3 linked regions of the Oryctolagus cuniculus genome follow. The protein of the gene in region 1 interacts with the protein of each later gene in a pairwise test. Links are inferred from orthologs where the notes say so. Each region holds a gene or a part of one and is shown on either strand. Other genes may lie near its edges. The genes, in order: APPL2, RAB22A and RAB5C.

Region 1 (3,743 bases):
TCCAGTCGTTTCTAGAGGACCAGCTATAAAAGATGGCTGGGGGATCCAGTGAGCTGATACAACAGGGCCTGGCAATAAAACGCACTCAGGAGCTCCGGCTGTCTTCATCTTTTCACGTAAGAGGAAGGTGCTGGGCAAGCTTCCCTCTGGTCCGAGTCTATGAATCGCCCTGGGAGCGAGGCCGGGCCGGGCCAGGCCCAGGCCACCTGCCATCCAGCGCTACCCGCTCTGCGGAGCGTCCCGGACCTTACAGTGCGCGTGCGTGCTGTTCCACAAGCACAACAGGACCCCTCACAGGGTGCGGCCGAGGTCGGCAGCAATGATAGAGGCACTCCCTTCGTGAAGAGGCACGTCCAAGCGCAATGACAGTGTCCACAGTCATAAACGCCACGCGTACAGCCGCAAGCAGGCAGACAGGACGGACCGCTGCGGCTCCTGCGGCTCCCTGAGCACACACCTGGGCTCCCTGCCTCTCGCTCTGCAGATCTGGGCTAACTGGGCCGGCCTCTCGGTGGGGATTTGCTGACCCGCCCCCATCCCAGGAGAAGTCAGGGACAGGGTCGGAATTAGAATCCAGGCCTGCCAGACCGCTCACTGCGTCCTCAGGGCAGAGTAAACCCTACAAACCACTCTCCCAGTGTAGACTCGCTTGTGGGAGCCAGGACCTTAGGGAGGACAACATGGCGGCAGTTAGTGCGACCTCTCTCACGTGGCTCGGCCATCACCACGTCTGGTAAGGAAAGCAGTGTATCTTAGCACCTCGGTATCCCCAGCCACAGAGCAAACAGAAATCCCTGGTTACAGTGACTGTTAGAAACTTCCTCTTTCTGACGTCCAGATCCCACACAACAGGTACAGATGGCTGAGGTGCCTTCTGAAACTGTCTTCTGTCCACTGAACAACACAAGTCTCATACAGGAGGCCTTGGGAAGGTCAGGCAGCCCAGTGGATGTGAATTTAAGAAAGGAAAAAAAAAAGCCACAGCTTGCTTTCAGTTACGCAGGAATGGGCACGCAGAGCTTCTGATCTATTCTGGGCTGGAGGGGTGCTGAGCAGGTGTAGGGACCTGCACTCAAGGATCACCCTAGGAGGGCGCGATTCCCTCCAGGGAGAAAAGGGACTGGGACCCAGGACGACCAGGCAAGACCAGAACAGCTTAACTGCATTCGGATTTTCCCAGAGTGGAGACAGTAAGGAATAGACACTTATTTCAATAACCCAAGAATGCACACAGGAGGGCAGATTTGAAGTTGGGGAAATGTTAAAGGAAGAGGAATGGGGCTGGCGCTGTGGCACAGCAGGTAAAGCCATCGCCTGCAGTGCCGGCATCCCATATGGGCGCTGGTTCGAGTCCCGGCTGCTCCACTTCCGATCCAGCTCCCTGCTGTGGCCTGGGAAAGCAGCAGAGGATGGCCCATGTCCTTGGGCCCCTGCACTCACGTAGGAGACCTGGAAGAAGCTCTTGGCTCCTGGCTCCAGATCAGCTCAGCTCTGGCCTTTGCAGCCATTTGGGGAGTGAACCAGCAGATGGAAGATCTCTTTCTGCCTCTCAAATAAAATAAATAAATCTTTTAAAAAAGGAAGAGGAACAAAAGACCCCAGAGCAAAGGCTCCGGGTCAGGAACTCATTTGCTGAAGCTACAGGCAGCTTTGGCCCGCAGCTCAGAGCCTTTGACTCGCGTGTTTGCTAAACAAGCTCCCCTGTGCCACAAATAGGGCAAGCAGCGTAATCCTCTCTCTGCAAGTGGGACAACGATGCCAGGGAGGCCTGGGGCCGCGGGGACGGCATCCGGCTCCTCGCCTCCCATCCTGGCCCGAAACCCACCAGGTCTCATGACACCAGTACTAGCGCGGGACGGAGCTCGCAAGCAGTGAAACAGGACAAGACCTCGCGCCAGACCCAGCCGACAACTCTCCAGGTACTTCCCCACTGCACTCAACAGCCAGGAGGGACACGCATCACCCCTACTTTGCACAGGACAAAGCGAAGACACCAAACGCTGATCTGCCCCGAGCACTCGGCTCCTAAGGCAGGCGGTCCTCACCCCACAGCTCGGTCTCAGCTGAGGCTGGAAGGTCGTCACGACACCGTCCACGACCCCCACGGCCGCGGGGTCTGCCCGCCCACCCCCTCCGGAGGATCCGGCCTCACGCCGCGGGCGTACCTGGGGGCTGTCCTGCAACGCCTCCTCCAGCAGGAGCTTGTCCACGGCGGGCATGGCGCGGCGCGGCGGGGCCGAGGGCCGGACGGGAGGACGAAAGGCGAGAGGCGCGGCCGTCCAGGGTGCTGTGGGCTCCGGCGACGCGGCGGACGCTCCGTGCCCGCGGTAGCCACGCGCGCGCCCACGCCTGCCCAGTGGCCGCCGCCGCCCGCCCGCCGGCCCGCCTCCCCGGCCAGCCCAGCCCAGCCCCCGGCCAGCCGGCCGGATCAACAGGAAGTGTGGCGAGCGGAGGCCGGGACACCGGAAGTGTGGCGGGATCAGGCCAGGTACCGGAAGTGTGGCTGCCCCACTTCCGCTTCTGCACGCAGAGGGATTGCTTGCGGTGTTGGGGCTCCGCTTTCGGCAGTGAGCGCACAGAATGAGTGAAACCGAAGAAAGGGGTCTCTAGGGTAGGAAGATAAGGCTTTATCTGCTTGTGGGCGCCCGAAAAGCCTGCTGAGTGGAAGGAGATAGGAGCGAACGGATTTTGCTGCGGTTATTCTCACTACACACGAGGACAGCCCTGCTCTTGGCACATCTGGTTCAGTGCTGTCATCGGACAGGAGAAAATGGGACGCAGAGAATTAAATGACTTGGTTAGGGTCAAGCTGAAAGCCAGAGGAAGAGGGATGTCATTGTGCCCTTGGCCTGCGCCATTCTATGGCTTCCATCCTGCTTGGTTTCCCCACCATATACTTTCTTCCCTGAAGGGGAATCATGCTCATACGTGCTGCTCCATTTTCCTCTATTTCCTACCAAGTGCAATTCAGTTAATTTCACATTACCTTCATATAATATCCCAGACGCTTTAAAAATCTAATCTGTCCCTTTTAAAACTATTGTGAAGTTTCGGACATCCCCTTAACAGTATCTGAAATTCGTGGACACCTGTGAGGTTAGTGACAGGGGTTTGAAGATGGACAGTGTGGAGTTGCCATGACATCCGGGGAGAGAGAGGATGAGCCCCCTGCAAGTCGTATGTAACCTTTGGCCCATTGAAGACCAATGGGGGAAAGACACCGTTAGACATAAAAAGGGCCCAAGAAGGGACCAGGTCAGAGAAAGACTCGGGGTTTGAGAATGAGAAAAGAAAGACGGAAGGGAGGAGAGGGGAGGTGCAGCTGCCAAGGGTGCTCCGGGCTCAGGTGACCCGTTTGGAGAAGATGCTCAGCAAACGGCATGGGGGGAGGGGGTAGGCAAGTTTTTTCCTCTGCCTGCAGTGCCGTTCCTCCTGCTTCCCTGTCTCGCCGGCCCAGCTACCACCTTCACATCCCAGATTAACGTGAGCTTCTGTGAACATTTCATTTCCTCCTGTCCCCCTAAGGGAAGTAGGTCTTCCTTTCCTTCAATGTGCATCCATGGCACTCGGCTGGATTGTTCTAGAATAACACCTGTAATTGTTCCCAACCCAGCCATCCAGCTAGAGTGAGCAGAATCTTTTTCTTATTTATTTCTGTAATTATAGTGCCTAGTCCATTACCTAGCACAAAACAATTGCTTGATGAATGCTTATTAAAACGTAATGTGTATTATTATAAGTTA
Region 2 (3,643 bases), about 100 Mb from region 1:
TGTGAATTTCACCCGACAAATTGGAGTTCAGAAGAGGACCCAGCGAAGAAGCCGCACCAGGGGTGCAGCAAGCATGAAGCCAGCCCGTGCTTGGCCCCGGCTGTGTCCTCTGCCTGTTGCTAGGCTGCAGAGGTTGCGTCTCTCTCAGCTAATGAGGTCGTTTCCTTCTGTAGAATGCTTTCTTGGTTTCAACTTCCGTTTTCTTCCAAAACCTGACATCATTTTATTGGAAATCAGCGGGCTTTCACCGCAGGGGCAGGTGGTTTTCTCAGACAGCCCAGTAGCAGTGTCTGTGCGTGGACACCTGGGTCCAGCGTGTGGTTTGACTGCCCCATCCTCACCAGCTCTCAACGAGGCACTCACTAATTCTTGGTTCCCTGAGATTAAATGTTGTACTAAATAGATCCGGTGTCTTCTCTCAGGGAGTTAGCAGTCATGATTTCACTTTCCTGTGAGAAACCAAGTATTAATAGGGGAGCCCAAAAGCCAAAAGGTGAGTAAGCTCGTTGGAGGAGGAGTACAAAGCCCACTGTTCACTTGTTACTCACGTGGACAGGTTGCTTCCCTGTGAGGTCCAGTCCTGCCCGTGCTTGGCACCAGGAGCAGGGCAGGGTGTGAGCTCCGTGGTGCCCGTCGGGTGCAGGGGTCAGGGTGTGTGATGAAGTAGAAGTGCAGATTTGAATGCTGGCACCACGTGTAGTGTAAGATGCTTGCACTGGCCCACCTCCCAGGAATGGGAAAGGCTCGCCATTCTCCATCTCCTCCTCATCAAGAGAAATGCCCACTGATCAGCCTGGCTGTTTAAATGCTTGTCCTCTCCCTGCCCTCTCCTCTCTGTTGTGGTGGTGGAGCAGGGGCAGGAGGGGTGGGTGGCGTGAAGCTGGTTAGGAGCTGGGTGCACGTGTGTGGCATGATCAGAACAGAAGCTGCAGACGCGTCCCGGTGGTGAGTGTGGACGTGCGCTCATCTCGGTGGGACGGTCAGCTCTTCCATCCCAGAGGCAGCCCCTCCTCCAGAGAGCCATTTACCACGTTATTTCTATCTCCTAGATAGTTTGGGAAGCCAAAGTTTAAAGAACTGTTGAACAAATGAATTTAGGAATTATAACATGGAGTTCAATTAAAAAGCCTTTTTAGCTGAAACAATTGTTTATAGCAACATATTTAATTCCTATAAAACTGTATTGTAAACTGTCTTCTGAGAGACATTTCAGTGTTACATTAAAAGTTGTTGCCTCTGGTAATTACTGGTTCATTTGCTTTAAAGCGTCGTGTCATCATCTTTGGCTTAAGAAAAAGATTAGCTTTTGTGCCTGGATAAGAGGCTGAAAAAGTCTAGTAAAAAGCGTGTTCACTGGCTGCCTCAATTCTGTTGTTTACTCTTCCTTCCACAGTTCCGTGCCTTAGCACCAATGTACTATCGTGGGTCGGCTGCAGCCATCATCGTCTATGACATTACAAAAGAAGTAAGACTCTAAGCAATTGTCTTTGGGCGGCGTTCAGAGTTCTCTTTGGGTCGTTCAGATCTCCACTTGCTCTTCCCTGTGTCGCAGGAGACATTCTCCACGTTAAAGAACTGGGTAAAGGAGCTTCGACAGCACGGGCCGCCCAATATTGTGGTTGCCATTGCAGGAAATAAGTGTGATCTTATCGACGTCAGGTGAGTTATTAGAACACGAGATTACAGTGTGATTATCTGTTCCTTTTCTTAATGAGCAATATTCACCATAAAATCTTGCTGTTATTTTATCTCTGTCATTGAAAAATTCCTTTTTGTTGTATGGTTGCAGTCCTGAAGTTTCAAACTGAAATTACAGTTTGGAGCTAATTCTGTTACTTACATAGCGGGTGTGTGATTTACGTAAACGTTGATTGCATCGCACTTGACAGTATCGGAACTCAGTGCAGCCCTGAATACTTGAGTGCTCAGGCACACTGACTGGGCATGTCTCTGTGCCACTTCCATGACTCACAAAACAAGGGGCTTGTGGGTTTTTGTGTTGTTTAATTTGGGTGAGGGTGGGGGGATGCCTGCCAGTCCCTGGTCATTCCATTAGCTGCATTGCTGGTGGTTGTGAGCTTTGCTTTGTTGTTTTCTAACCAAAGAAGTGGTCTCCTTGGAAGAACGTGTGGTCAGTTCTTCTGTCACAGCCATTCAGGACATCCTGTGTCGTCACAAATCTGGCTGACTGCTAGGTAGGTGGGGATAGCATTAAGAACTTAATGGGTAGAATTTCTGATTTGCAATTTTTGCCTTCCAGAGAAGTCATGGAGAGAGATGCTAAGGACTATGCCGACTCCATTCATGCAATTTTTGTAGAGACCAGCGCAAAAAACGCGATAAACATAAATGAACTCTTTATAGAAATTAGTGAGTATCTGTATGCCTTACGGGTTTCCTCTGTGCAGAGCAAGTTAAAATAGAATTATCTTTCTGGTTAGAATTCCCACCTTGCTCAGAGCAGTCCAGGCTCTGATATCCTCAGTGAAATGAGATTTGAGAACATGAGAGTAACAGCCGGCTCCATATCATCGTGTAACTGTGGAGAGCTGCTGCCTGAGGACAGTGGCCCTTCCAGAAAGAACGTGCCGCTGAGTGAACAATGCCCAGGGTGCTGAGGTCGTGGAAGCTGTCATCTCTCCCTCTTTCTCTATTTAAATGTTTCAATCAGTCGTTCAAGGTCATTGAAAATGAACAAAATAAAAGGGAATGAAATACAGGTGTAATTTCACTGAAAGAAAACCCTCGAAAATGAATACAGGCGAGAGACAGGGAAGCCCTCTCTCCCCGCGCTGCCCTTCCCGTCCCGCGGCGCCGCTGTGGTGCCGCCAGCCAGGAGCCGGCCTGCTGCTCCCTCGGGATGCTCTGCAGGTTGCAGCTGTGCGTGTTCGCTGCATTCAGATTCATCGAAACGTTGATTGGGAGCTGCCAGACCAGGGAGACGGCCAGGGAGACGGCCAGAGGAGACGGCCAGGGAGACGGCCAGGGAGAGACGCAGCCCCGCTCCCCTGCAGTGCCTGCCGAGGGAGGCGCACCCTGAACGCCAGATAAATAGGATCATTTCAGATAGCAATCAGTGATAAAGAGGAAATAATTTAGAGTGAAATTTTTTTTGTTATTTGACAAGTAGAGTTAGAGAGAGAGACAGAAAGGTCTTCCTTCCTTTGGTCCACTCCCCAACTGGCCACCATGGCCAGCGCTATGCCGATCCGAAGCCAGGAGCCAGGTGCTTCCTGCTGGTCTCCCATGCGGGTGCAGGGCCCACGCACTTGGGCCATCCTCCGCTGCCTTCCCAGGCCACAGCAGAGAGCTGGACTGGAAGTGGAGCAGCCAGGACTAGAACCGGCGCCCATATGGGATGCCGGTGCTGCAAGTGGAGGATTAACCAAGTGAGCCACAGCGCCAGCCCCTAGAGTGAAATTTTTAAAAGAAGTACGTTTGCAGGCGGTCAGGGAAGGCTTCTCTGGAGAGATGGTCTTTGATCTGAGGTCTGAGGGAGCAGGCCTTGCTGACGTGTGTGGAGTCCCATGAACTGAACAGACCACCAGCCTCTGAGCGCGGCACCCTCGCCGTGAAGAGCCACCGCTTGTTGAGACCCCAGGGGCCTTGGCTGGAGGGGCTCCTGGTGATTGTGGAGAGGAGG
Region 3 (3,743 bases), on another chromosome or scaffold:
AGTGAAGGCGCGTCACCTCGGGCAGCACTGCAGGGCAGCCGGAGGCCCTCCCGCCCTCACTGGGGCCCAGGAGGCCCCCGAGCCCAGTGGCTTTCACTTTCACTTTCCAACCATCAGCCGGCAGGTTCCCAGGAAACTGACGGCAGTCAGATGTCAGCGAACTTGGGCCCTGCAGAGCACCAACTCCTGTCAGGGCCCCTGCAGGCAGAGCACAGGGGGCCAAGGAGGAGGCCAGGAGGCCGGGGTGAAGATGGGGGAAGAGATGGGAAGCAGAGCAGCGCCAGGGACAAGGATGGTGCAGGGGCTCAGAGCCTGCACTGTGCCCCTGATGCTCACCCTACCTGTTCATTCATTTAAGGGCCAGTCACTAGGGAAGGCCGAGGTCACATCTGAGCCCAGATCCCAAGCCTCAGCGCCATCACCTCCTAACCGCGTGGTCTTAGGCATCATCTCCAATGTGGAAATGCAAATCTCACTACCTCCCAAGGAACGTGTGAGGGACGTGTGTGAAAAGAAGTCTGCAACTCTGCAATGACCTAAAGCAATTAGCAGTTACCATCACCCTGTAGTATAGCAGCAGAAAAAAGGCCAGCTCGCTGTGACGGGCCCAGGGAAGGAGGGAACATGTTAGAGAGGAGGGGCTTCTGCCCCACACAGAGCCCTCCCTCTGCCAGGCAGGGTTCGTCCTGTTACGATGCTTTAATTTTTGGAGGCCAGAGTGGCTACACAGCCACCCAGAGCTGTACAGCCTTCCCCACTGTTCTGAACAGGGAGCTGCTCTTCCCGAAGCCTGCTTCCGAGTCAGAGCTGCAACGCAAAGAAGAACCCCTCGGACGGCCGCTCGGCCTCATCCCTGCACTGCTGCAGCGCTCCGCCAGCCACGGCCCACCCCGTCAGAACCAGCGGCCCTGCCCTCAGCCCCACAGCCCCACCAGGTCCGATGAGGAGGGCGGACAAAGTCTCCAAGGAGCCCACACGGGCTCAGGGCTCGTGATCCAGCTGTTGAGCCCAATAAGGAAGTTTTGCTTTGTTGTCCAATAAAAAGTGAAACAAGTGCGTTCAAGACCGAGCTCAAAAGACTGTAGGGACCACACACTAGCAACTGTCCAGAGCAGCAAAAAAGATCTCAAAGCAGAAACACCTTTAACACTGGGAAGCAGCAGCCAAGGGCAGTGAGGGCGGCCCAGGAACACCAGGAGCTCCGGCGATTCCGGCAGCGTGGGGCTCTCCTCCCTTCCTCCCCTGCAGATAGCAAGGGTCAGTCCTGGCCTCAGGCAAGCTGCTCCTCATTAAGGTAGTCTCTGGCCTGTACTTTGGCCACGTAACAGAACGGTCTAGCCTGGTCTGAGACAGCAGCCATTTCACACACCCAGTTCCTAAACAACAGAGTAGGATCCTATGGCAAAACAGCCGGGGGGAGGGGAGGGCAGCCCTTTCTAGCAGATTTGGGAACTCCTCTTGCTACAGAAATTAGCTAAGAACCCAAGACTGCCACTGTGCCCTCGACTCATTGGTCTGTAGTACGTCCAAGCCCCGGGGACTGAGGCGAGGCCCCGGTGAGGGTGGACCTGTTGCTGGGGCGGCGGTCGAGTGTGTGTGTCTGGGAGCAGCAAAGAAACGGTCCTTCAAGCCCCAGCTCCTCACTTCTCTGGGCTTATTCTCTCCTCTACAGCCCAGCGGACAAGGCAGTCCCGCAGAGGCAGCTTGGGGAACCGCTCACGTGCTCTCGGGAGGACAGGGCTGAGCCTGGAGCCGAGGGGGAGGAGTAGGGGAGCCAGAAGATAATGAATGGGCAGAGCCACCCTGACCTAGCATTGAGCAAACCTCAGCTGAATTCTTCAGAGGCAGGAAGAGAGATACACTCAAGAGGACAGGGCCGGGGGACAGCGGGGACAAAACAAGAAGGCTGCTCGTTCCCAAGGAGTGCCCCGCGCCCCAGACTCCGCTGAGGTCCTGGCTGGCTCTCTGGCTGGAGGAGGGAGAACGAGTCGGGAGTTGTGGGAGCACACACACTTCTATGCGCGTGGAGTCGCCTCCCCCAGACCACCCTCCCCCAAAGGAAATCGAGACAAGACTTCTCCAGGGCTGGCGGGGGACAACTGCTTCTGTGGGACCGGGGTGGGGGGGACACGGCGACAGACAGCCCTCCCCGCCACCTCTACGGGAGAAGAGGGGCAGGTTCCTGCACACCTGGCAAAGACCGGCCGATTCTGGGAGCAGGGAGAGCGGAACTCAGGGTCCCTCTCCGCCGCGACTGGACTGGACAGGCCAGAGGAGAGCCGCAGGGGTTTCCCCAAGGTTCACAAAGGGCAGGTAAGTCGAGGAAAGAAGGGATCTTCCTGTGGCCTGACGCCTGCGGAGCGCCTTAAGAAGGGGCTACGGGTCGGGGGAGGGGTCAGTATCCCCCTAAGATAGGGCTGGGCAGAAGGAAGGGCTGCCCCGCAAAGGCAACTGGGCTGGAGAGACACTGGATCCCAGGACAGGCACACTCACAGCGGCTCCGGGGACGGCGGCGTTACTTGGGGACGGGGCTCGGACAGGTTTCGCTCCTCTCCCCCCCGGCGGTGTCCCAGGCTCCGGCCTCCACTTCCGCCTTTCAGCCGCTCCGGATCCGGATCTCTACCTCCGCCCCGCCCCTCTTACTCCCAGGTGACTGACAGGGCGGAGAAGCCAATGGGAGGCCCTCCTGGCCGACCCATAGGCGGTGCCGGTGAGGGTCGCGGGAGAGGCGGGAGAGAGCGAGCGAGGGACGGCGGGACTTGTAGTTCGCAGCACTGGGCGGAGCCGTCGCCTGCTTGGGACTTGGCCTTAGGGTGGAGCCGGCTGGGGCGAGGCGGAGCCGGCCTGGGCTGCTAATCGCGTCACTGCGGGTTCCAGGAGCCCCGAGGGAAGGCGAATGGCTGCGGAGCGATGGGAGAGGGCAGACGACTGTGTGTGTAGAACTGGGGAGGGGGCAAACGTGATGTGAATGAGTTCGTACGGGAGGCCGCGTGGGTCTCGTGCACTCGCTAACTGGGAGCAGCCCCTGGCCACGCTTCCTGAAGTTGGGGGCACTGTGTGATGGGGAAGGCGCTCTGGGATGCTAGGTGACATAGAAGGGGGCGCTTTATAAACCCTCCTGCGTTGGGCTGGTCCCTAGACACACAGAACCACCTCTGCCCCTCTACCCCTCCCCACACCCGACTGGAAGCAGATACAGAGCTGGATACCTGCTGCCTCAGCTGGAATCCCCACCCCCACGTAGGTTGAGACATTTCCGACGCCTCTCCCTCAGGTTTAGGGCCACTTCTCCTTATTCTCCCCGCCCCCCCTTCCCCTCCTCAGCCCCTCACCTCCCAACACAAGCCAGTACCTCTCCTATTTCTTCCTCTCACTCCTCAGGGACGCTACCCAAAAGCCCTATGGAATCTGTCTGTGACAGCCGCCATCACCCGTCGTAGCCTAGAGGCTGAGCTGCAGAATCTGGCTGCACATCTGGCTGCAGCTGGTTAGCAGGTGCTTCTTTCTTTAGAACATCCACAGCTCCCCTCCTCCTGGCAGCCACCATCAGAGAAGTGAAAGCTGGGAGGGCTTGGGAGGGCAGGGGGCATGGGGCAGGGTGAGATTCCCACCAGGAGCTTGGCTGGTGCCCAGCTCTTCTCCCAGCGCCTGCTGCACGGAGCCCAGCAACCCCTCCCTGGGTAGGAAGGGTAGGGAGTCCCCTGGGCACTCCTTGCCAAGGCTGGAGGTAGGCCTGAGCCAGG

The links.
Region 2: the proteins of APPL2 (region 1) and RAB22A interact in binary tests that used the Homo sapiens proteins (3 or more experiments, as listed by UniProt). The two-hybrid records come from large-scale screens. The link is inferred for Oryctolagus cuniculus from reciprocal best matches to the Homo sapiens genes APPL2 and RAB22A.
Region 3: the proteins of APPL2 (region 1) and RAB5C interact in binary tests that used the Homo sapiens proteins (3 or more experiments, as listed by UniProt). The two-hybrid records come from large-scale screens. The link is inferred for Oryctolagus cuniculus from reciprocal best matches to the Homo sapiens genes APPL2 and RAB5C.

What each region holds. Positions count from the first base shown.
Region 1 is NC_091442.1:107,910,019-107,913,761, forward strand, and holds the start of APPL2 (DCC-interacting protein 13-beta), read right to left. Parts: upstream 2,424-3,743; 5' UTR 2,220-2,423; coding exon 2,166-2,219; intron 1,920-2,165; exon of another isoform or gene 1,747-1,919; intron 1-1,746. UniProt on the Homo sapiens protein: Multifunctional adapter protein that binds to various membrane receptors, nuclear factors and signaling proteins to regulate many processes, such as cell proliferation, immune response, endosomal trafficking and cell metabolism.
Region 2 is NC_091442.1:3,835,283-3,838,925, reverse strand, and holds part of RAB22A (ras-related protein Rab-22A), read left to right. Parts: intron 1-1,393; coding exon 1,394-1,465; intron 1,466-1,552; coding exon 1,553-1,659; intron 1,660-2,260; coding exon 2,261-2,370; intron 2,371-3,643. UniProt on the Homo sapiens protein: Plays a role in endocytosis and intracellular protein transport. Mediates trafficking of TF from early endosomes to recycling endosomes. Required for NGF-mediated endocytosis of NTRK1, and subsequent neurite outgrowth.
Region 3 is NC_091448.1:20,643,129-20,646,871, reverse strand, and holds the start of RAB5C (ras-related protein Rab-5C), read right to left. Parts: upstream 2,653-3,743; 5' UTR 2,494-2,652; intron 2,314-2,493; exon of another isoform or gene 1,578-2,313; intron 1-1,577. UniProt on the Homo sapiens protein: The small GTPases Rab are key regulators of intracellular membrane trafficking, from the formation of transport vesicles to their fusion with membranes.